2 linked regions of the Bombyx mori genome follow. The protein of the gene in region 1 purifies or fractionates together with the protein of each later gene. This does not show direct contact. Links are inferred from orthologs where the notes say so. Each region holds a gene or a part of one and is shown in the gene's direction. Other genes may lie near its edges.

Region 1 (4,639 bases):
GATACAAAAGCAGCATTAACCAATTTTAAGCAACTAATTTTGAAGTACTGCTAACAAATTCTTAAAAATTATTACAATACAAATCTACTCCATGCATCTACTGTTCTGTTAAACAAAAGTTTGTCCATGTGTTGGCCGAGCCTTGGCCAACGTTTGTAGCGGTGGTTAGAAAACGGTAATTTTGTTCAAAATTTAATATTATTTATTAGTTTAAAGCTTAAAATATAGTTTGTACTTCATATACTTACCGAAAGTAAGATACTGCGGCCGTTAAATTGCTTTTCGGGCATTATTTTTGCAACTTTTGAATACACACTGCGGCATTGCGAGACGAGTTGACATTGGCTGTGTTTGAAGTGGTCTAAACAAAATAAGAGCTCACATTTCAAGTGAGCTGTTATTTGACGAGACGGATTTTCTGCACCGACCCGAAATCTGGTTACTATTGTTGATCGAAGATTGCTACAGATTAAAATTGATCTATGCAACTGATGTATATAACTGATTTTACATTGATGTTCATGGCATGGAGCTATTGTTTCCATATAAGCTTTTTAAAGATACAACAAAGTTTTAATGTAATTCAATTTGCACAGTCAGTATGAGAATCATAGTTCAATTATTAATATAGATGTTTACTGTTATGGTATAAGATTATGAAAATATGAATTTGAAATTCAAGTCAGAATGCTTAAAGTCATTGATCATATTCAATGGGAATAAAAAAAAATTATGGTAAATAATGGTTTGAACTGTTAAATTTCAGATGATAGATCGAGTGGCTCTAATGATCGTCCATGCACAGTTTTGATAGCAGAATGGATATACACCCGCACAAATCCTGGCAAGAATCCAGAGATTGTTCCAGGTGTTTTACTGGATTGGCCTGTGCCAACTGTACAGAGGCTCTGGTTTGGGTGAGCTTGTGTTCAAAGTATTTTTTAAATTTACTATAGCTAAATGTAATCTGTAATTACAAATATTTTTTTAAATATTTATTTTAGAACTGCTCCGGATGATAAATGCCGTAGAATGAGAGCATATCTTTCCTGTATGCGCTCAGATACTCCTCTGATGTTGAATACTACTTATGTGCCCCAGCACTTGCTCATACTGGCAACTGTATTGAGGTAAATTTTTATAAATTTTTTTTTTGAAGATAAGCAGATTCAACTCTTCATTGTATGATATTGTTTGTTTTCATATTTAATGCAAATATGTCTATATTTTAGATTTATAATGACATCTCCAATTCAAATACTACGAAGGCAAGAGCTGGATGCATTTTTAGCTACTGCATTTTCGACAGATCTTATGAATGCACTACATTTGCAAGAAATGAATGTAAGTATTTAGATAAACTACTGTTTGTTCAGATAGTATATTCTACTATCTGGATATTCTACTATCTGGTCTGTATAAACTATAGTAAAAGCTTGTCAAGAGTAAAAAGAGTAGATATTACTCACATACCAAAATTATTACTTTGTAACCCCCTGTTCTGAGGATACTTTTGCTTAAACTCCCAAATGACGCTACTTCCCTTACGTCTTAAAAATATTTGTTTTATTGGCGAATGAAATATAAATAATGTATATTATGCGATTATTTTTAAATCGTTTGATAAATATATCAAGGAGCCAAACGGTGGGGTTCACCTCCACCCTATTAGACAAAAGCTTGACTGCCTGACTCGACTCCTGGATTGCCTACAAAGGTCAATAAAAAAAATTGAAAAAACTCAAACTCAAATGAAAATAAGTATTATTTAAAATTACAAAGATAAAAAAATCGTAGTTAAGTGTTAAAATATAAATGTTTCAAGAAAAAGACAAGTACACAATATTAAATGTCTATTTTCAATTTTCTACAGCTTAACATAAAGGCACAATGTGACTTTTTCCCTTAAAAATAGGGAGCAAGACCAAATATTTCTCTTCCTGCATGAAAAAATATGTTAGATGAATTAAAATATCGCGCTTAAATATTTCAACTATATATATGTATATACAGATATTGATATACAGTAATCATAAACATTCACAGTGCTCTATTATTAGTAATAGCCATTGTGATCTATTTTAGGAAGTTTTAGGTCATATTTATAATATTTTTTACAAAAATTGGTATCTTACAGATTTTTATCTATTTATCTTGCTGTGTTCCAATCTCATCTGTCTTAGCAAAAAATGTTTAAATTGTTTTATTATTTACACAGATCAATGCTATCAGTTCCCGGGGCGTACAATTAGGCGCGCTGGTGATGGCGGGCGTGGAGGCGGCGCTCGTGGCTAATGACGCTTGCGGTGCTCCTGTACCATGGCTCGTAGCTTCACCCTGGCTCTACTTCGATGGCAAGCTGCTGCAGCGAAACCTCCATCGCGCAGCACACTGCAAACATCTTCCTCAGCTTTGCGATAACAACCTCGACATCGTCGTCAAGGTAATACGATAATATCGACTTGCTTTATCTTAAATTCTACAAGTTTTTTTTGTTTTTTTTTAAGTTATTTTGAGTAGCTTTGTAGTTAATTGAATGTATTTTTTGTTACTGCTGAGTCCTGCCCTTCAAGTCCCTTTTTATATCCTGAGACTTTTGCAGTTCTATTAATCTAATTACTGGTGGTAGGACCTCTTGTGAGTCCGCATGGGTAGGTGGTACCAGCGCCCCGCCTATTTCTGCCGTGAAGCAGTAATGCGTTTCGTTTTGAAGGGTGGGGCAGCCGTTGTGACTATACTGAGACCTTAGAACTTATATCTCAAGGTGTGTGGCGCATTTACGTTGTAGATGTCTATGGGCTCCAGTAACCACTTAACACCAGGTGGGCTGTGAGCTCGTCTCCATAGTATTCAGTACTGCCGAAATATTTTAGAACTCAGATAATCATAGATATATTTATCTCCAGGTTGAGCGCATGCGAAAGGCGATCTTGGAAGGTCTGGAGGTGGAGTTCGCGATGGCGCCGCTGCCGCTCGTGGCGGGCGTGCTAGGGAGCGACGGGGGCACGTGGGGCGCGAGGGGGCGGGGCCGCGGCGGCCGGCTTGAGATCGCGGGCGTTGTCGTCGGACAGTGGGGCGGCGGCAGCTATCCCGCACGCGCTCCGCCCAGATACCAACAGATGAGCGCGCACACTGTAATTCAACTTTACTTTTCACTAGTTTATGAATGTATGTTAAGAATTAATTTAATGTATTTTTTCTTTCTACCTAAGCTGATGATAGCCTTGAGTTGAGAGGCTATGTCAGCGTAATCTAACAAGTAGGTGAGCTCACGAGGCCTTAATCTGACGACGTTGCTAACACTAACCCTAGCAAAATTTATTGTTAATTATACAGAGTACAAGGGATACAAGGGAGCTAAATATTGAATTAAAATTGGCTGTATAAAACTACTGGGTGTTCACACTTTTGCATATAAACTGCTTAGACACAAGCACCACCATCGTCCACAGGATACCATGAGCACTAGTGCATGCATTTCTGATATCGCACTTAATTTTAAATTGGGGCTCGGCTAATCCGACGCCGGGTCTGTATCGTTGTGTGTTATTTTTATGTGAAAAGACAAACTCGTACATGACAATGGTGCATGTCATCAGAAAATCCACAGCATCGTAAATTATTTATAAAAAACTGATTATTTGGCCCACTTCCTAATGAAAATTGTGGAGGTTGTAATTTTCTTGCATTGGAGCTAGTAAAACAAACTTGGTCTTGATGCTAGGTGGGCTACGTTGGATACACGCCTCCGACTCGGAACTCGTACGGAGGTCGCGGGTGGCGCGGAGCACGCGGGGGTCGCGGCCGGGGACACGCGCGCCCCTCGCGCCGCCCCCGCCGGGACCCGAACGAGCCCGCCAAACCAGCCACTATTGCCGTTAATGGGTAACTTAACCATACCGTAGATTGGGGGGAATCGGGACCCTTTCCAAATCCAACACAAATTTTCAATGGTTTTTCTTAGGGTAATACCAATAAAATTGAGATTAAAATAGTTCCGGGAGGCTTAAATTCTTATATACGATACATAGTTTATTACAAAATATACACAAAAACTGAAAAAACTTGCTTGACCCGATTCACCTTGGCTTTGGGGTGAATCAGGTTACGTATGGGGACAATAGAGTTTTTCGATAGGGCTGGCACTATTTAGTTGTTAGATAGGTACCTAACTTTAGGTAATTAACTTTTTAATATCTTTAATGAGTTACAAAACATGATGACTAAATTAAACTATTTAATATCTTAAGTTATTTAAATTCTTAAGCACTAAATGAAAGTCATTTTCAATTCTACAAACTTAAATCTACCAACTCAAAAAAAGTATTGTGACATACCAGATTTGTTCCTATTCTAACTCAAGTCTCTATTCCCCCCAAACTACTGTACATTATTATTTCTGTATATCCATATTATTATCATATACTGGGTTGTCAGTATCATATGATGTTTGTGGTGTAATTTATAAAAGTAGTGAACGTATTTGATAAAAAAAAAAGTATCTCGACTTGAAACTTTGCGGTCTATCAGTTGTACAATTTAAGCTCATACTTCATCGTCTCCATAATGTAGAAGTAATATTAAGCTTATTTATAGCATAGATTAATCCTTAGGAAAACCGTTCGCCCGGACGAAGTTC
Region 2 (4,718 bases), on another chromosome or scaffold:
CCATCTTTTTTTATTGATCCGTCCATTAGACACGCAAATGCATTATAGGCCATACAGCTAAGTATTCCAACATTTCCAACAATCGTCGAAGACTTGTCCGTTAGATACTGAATCTGTGGCACACCATTATGATATTGACGAACTTTTTGGCGGGAACGCGAGGAGCGATTTGTTTTATTTTGACAAATAGTCAAGTCAATAGTGTTTCTTCAGGTTTAAATGTACACATTTAACGGTGGTTTATTAACTATTTAATATCTGTGAAAGTGCACAAATGTGGGAAAATTAAACAAAGCCGCTGGACGAACTTCTCGGGATCCTTCAAAAAGTCCACTGCAAAAATCTCAGTAAATGACCACCATTTTACTGATAATATTTCATCCCATATCATCTCATTTATTTAATTTCATAATACCATTTTTTATATAAAAAAAAGTTTTCATTAAAATTATAATATCGCTCAGCTGGCAATCTTTTTTTTTTTTTATAACAACGAGAGGCAAACGAGCAAGACGGGTCACCTGATGGTAAGTGATTCACCGCCGCCCACGGTCACCAGCGTTTAAGCCAGTGCGTTGCCTACCCTTCGTGTATACCTCACACATAAATGGGCTGAAGCCTTGGAAAGCAAGGGCGAGGCTCTCGCTGTGAGCTTTGACATCGCGAAGGCCTTCGGCAAGGTCTGGCATAGGGCACTTCTATCGAAGCTTCCAGCTTACGGAATCCCTGAGGGACTCTGCAAGTGGATCGCTAGCTTTTTGGATTGGACGGAGCATCACAGTTGTCGTCGACAGCTGCGTTGTACACGAGAGGCGATTAAAACTTGTGTCTGAAGTGGAGAACTCTCTGCGGCGGGTCTCCAAGTGGGGTGAACTAAATTCAGTTCAGTTCAACCCATTGCACACACACACACACAGACACAGACACAGGTTTGCGCGTTCACTGCGAAGAAGGACCCTTTTGTCATGGCGCTGGAATTTCAAGGAGTGCCCCGCAGCTTTCCGCGAGTATCGGGATTCTGGGGGTCGATATTTCGAGCGATGTCCAGTTTCGGAGTCATTTGGAAGGTAAAGCCAAATTGGCCTCTAAAATGTTGAGAGTCCTCAACAGAGCGAAGCGGTATTTTACGCCTGGGCCGACCTCGCGTGGAGTACTGCTCTCACCTCTGGGCCGGGGCTCCCAAATACCAGCTACTTCTATTTGACTCCATACAGAAACGGGCTGTTCGGATGGTCGATAGTCTTGCTCTCGCGGATCGCTTGGAACCTCTGGGTCTACGGAGGGACTTCGGTTCTCTCTGTGTTTTATACCGTATGGTCCATGGGGAATGCTCTGAGGAATTATTCGAGATGATCCCCTCATCTCCTCTTTATCATCGCACCTCCCGCCATCCGAACAGAGTTCATCCATATTATCTGGAACCGCTGCGTTCATCGACAGTGCGTTTCCAAAGATCTTTTTTGCCACGTACCATCCGGCTTTGGAATGAACTCCCCTCCACGGTGTTTTCCGAGCGCTATGACATGTCCTTCTTCAAACGAGGCTTGCGGAGAGTACTTTATGGTAGGCAGCGGCTTGGCTCTGCCCCTGGCATTGCTGGCGTCCATGAGCGACGGTGACCACTTACCATCAGGTGGGCCGTATGCCTGCCTACAAAGGCAATAAAAATAATAATAATAAGACGACTTAAAGGTCTTAGTTACCAGGTTATAAAATCCTTTTAAAAAAAAGTAGCTTCTTATGTACCATATAAAATTACAATATTAATGTATGTATGTATCGTTGGTACCTGCTTGAGTACCGTATCTTCTTTATTTTATTCTAAAACTTCAAAAGTTGAATATCTTGAAATATGTATTATGTAGTAAATCAGTAAATAATTAATCAGTTAAAGAAACAGTTGACGACAGACTAGACAGATTACATTTCGTTTAATATTTTGACGTGATTTTGACTGAACCTATTGTTAAACCAGACTGTGCTACAATTGCTTACCCAAACCTACGTTATACAAAATGAACCATGTGGCACGCAACGACGACAAACCACCATATTCCAGAATTTTCATAGTTTGCAGCAAACAATACCGCGAACACGACTTACGACCGTTTTTTGAAAAGTATGGCGAAATTGAAGACATGTACCTACCAAGGGACCGCAACACAGGCGAGACTAGAGGTATCGCTTACATTAAATATGCTAAAACATCATCAGCAGCCACTGCCATAGAGGAATTACACATGACTACCTTACTTGACAATCACAAACCCATCAAAGTTATGGTCGCCTCTGACAAAAATGACTATCAAAGTAACAGTTACGACAAATACAGAAGACTATTTATCAAAGTTCCCAAAACGATGACTGAGAAAGAAATTCGGCAATATTTTTCCAGTTATGGAAAAGTTGAGTCAGTGCGTTTACAGAGAGACAAATTGACTGACGAAAGTAAAGGATTTGCTTATGTGAATTTTACAACTTTTTCGGAAACTGCGAAAGCGTTTGAGCAGTGTGATAAAACGTATAAAGCTATTTTTGCCACACCGAAAGATGAGCTTAAAAGGCCCAGGAACAGTTTAGAAGGACTTGACTGCTATTCCAGTAATTCTAATCTAACTAAATCTCATGTTTATGCTGATCACGGCCATCATGTTAACGATGAGTTTAATAAAGATTATTTGACATTAATTTCAAAGACTAAAGAACAAGACTTTGACACTGTGTCAGTTAAATGCACACCACCAGTGCTACAAAAACACCTTGAAAGACTGTTTAATATTGTACCAGGAATGATTGAATTTAAATACACTATGGACCAAGGTAACCGTGTTTGTCGAGCATCAGTTACATATGACAGTCAAAAGGCAGCAGCTTATTCTGTCGAAACTATAAATAATTTTGAATATCCATCTGGAGAGGTTATCAGTGTTAAACCTGACATTAGCCCACTCACCAAAGCAACTTCTACCTTGAATAACATAGTTAATAATATTAAAAACTCTGTAGATGGAAACCCAAATCTATTGCAGCTTGCAGATGCCATAGCACAGGCTTCCTCGTTAATAAAAACAGCTACAATTGGAAGGAAAAGCCCAATAGATGATAAAGATGATGGTTTCTGTAATGTATGTCTTCCCCCTATAAAACCCTTGGCTAGCAGTAACTGCAGAGTCGCTCAGAGATGTTTCTTAGTCTTTAGACCCCATCCACCTCCCATGGCAGCTTTGATGAATGCTTTTTGTAGATTTGGTGGCCTCATAGAAATAACGACATACCCTAACAAGAATTTTGCTTTTGCTAAATATGATTCAGTGAAGTCAGCACAGGAAGCAATTAAAACTCTAAATGGTGCAACTTTATGTGGGGTGAATCTGAAAGTGTTGGAGGCTGAGGAAAAAAATACGAAAGAGAAGATGTGTGTTGACGATGATGATGACATAGAGAGAAAACGGATGAAGTTAAACAACAAAGACTGACAGTTTTGTAATTGTAGTAAATTAAAATTATTTTTTATGATATTTGAAACTGACTGATTGACCTCTTCTTCTACTTCATCATTCCCTCGCTGCTGACGATCGCGACCACATGTCCTCATTTTAGCACATCATGTGTCACCCCTCATAACTGCTGTTAAATGTTTATTACAAAGTAGCAAGTATGTCAATTTGCAAAATAAAATTAACAATTTTTTTTTGTTGCTTAGGCGGTTGGACGAGCTCACAGCCCACCTGGTGTTAAGTAGTTACTGGCCCATAGACATCTATAACGTAAATGCTCCACCCACCTTGAGATATAAGTTCTAAGGTCTCAAGTATAGTTACAACATCTGCCCTACCCTTCAAATCGAAATGCATTACTGTTTCACGGCAGAAATAGGCAGGGTGGTGGTGGTACCTACCCGCGCGGACTCACAAGAGGTCCTACCACCAGTAAATTAGTACTGTTAGTCACCAAAAGGGGGGAAATAAATATCTCAATGGACACCAATAATATATTTTATGAAAGTGACACAAACAAGAATGTAATTCATAACTTAAATAAATAAATTAAATACTGATTTTTTTTATGAATTCATTACTAGAACAAAGATTTCAGTGTCGAACAGCATTTTTTTTTAATTCTCGTATAAGAGTACTATTACTTTTTTCTCCAGGAGATTTAATATCATTTGACGAAATCCATAGACATCACAAGGTATATGTCCAACACTAAAAATAGAGGTTGAAATCTCAGTTATATTGCTTCGCGGTACCTACCACTTAATGAATCCAAATACTCACTAGAGAAATTTAACTATAATAACAGATGTACATACTCGAACTGATGCAACGATAAGCAAAGTTCTGGATCGGGCAAGTATCGGCACTTAAGTCCGAATCTCGCACTTTATCGGGACAAATAAATAATTCTCAATGGCATACAACGCACGTTTAAAACCCTGTTCATTTAAAATAAGTTAACGTTCTTCAGCGTTGCAACATCGAGGCACTGCTCAGCATGGGGCGAATGCGGTCATTCTAGCAGGAGACTTTAATTAACAAGGTGACTTATCCGCACACTATACACTTTGTTCGCCACCAGTACCCAGCACCCCACCCTAAAATAATGATTTTCGACCGCATGAATAAGGTTGAGGAAAATATGAAGGAATTGCAACTTAAATAGGGTCACAAAAATACGACTAGTTCGGGCAGTTGTGTTCCCCATATTCCCGTACG

What was found. The genes of interacting proteins can lie anywhere in the genome.
Region 2: the proteins of constitutive coactivator of PPAR-gamma-like protein 1 (region 1) and RNA-binding protein 45 purify together in Homo sapiens (co-immunoprecipitation; 3 studies listed by BioGRID and IntAct, with this or other methods). This does not show direct contact. The link is inferred for Bombyx mori from reciprocal best matches to the Homo sapiens genes FAM120A and RBM45.

Annotation. Positions count from the first base shown.
Region 1 is NC_085128.1:7,953,868-7,958,506, forward strand, and holds part of constitutive coactivator of PPAR-gamma-like protein 1, read left to right. Parts: intron 1-766; coding exon 767-917; intron 918-1,004; coding exon 1,005-1,130; intron 1,131-1,232; coding exon 1,233-1,344; intron 1,345-2,218; coding exon 2,219-2,443; intron 2,444-2,906; coding exon 2,907-3,134; intron 3,135-3,724; coding exon 3,725-3,885; intron 3,886-4,613; coding exon 4,614-4,639. UniProt on the Homo sapiens protein: Component of the oxidative stress-induced survival signaling. May regulate the activation of SRC family protein kinases. May act as a scaffolding protein enabling SRC family protein kinases to phosphorylate and activate PI3-kinase.
Region 2 is NC_085121.1:997,845-1,002,562, reverse strand, and holds RNA-binding protein 45, read left to right. Parts: upstream 1-1,722; 5' UTR 1,723-2,015; coding exon 2,016-3,476; 3' UTR 3,477-3,529; downstream 3,530-4,718. UniProt on the Homo sapiens protein: RNA-binding protein with binding specificity for poly(C). May play an important role in neural development.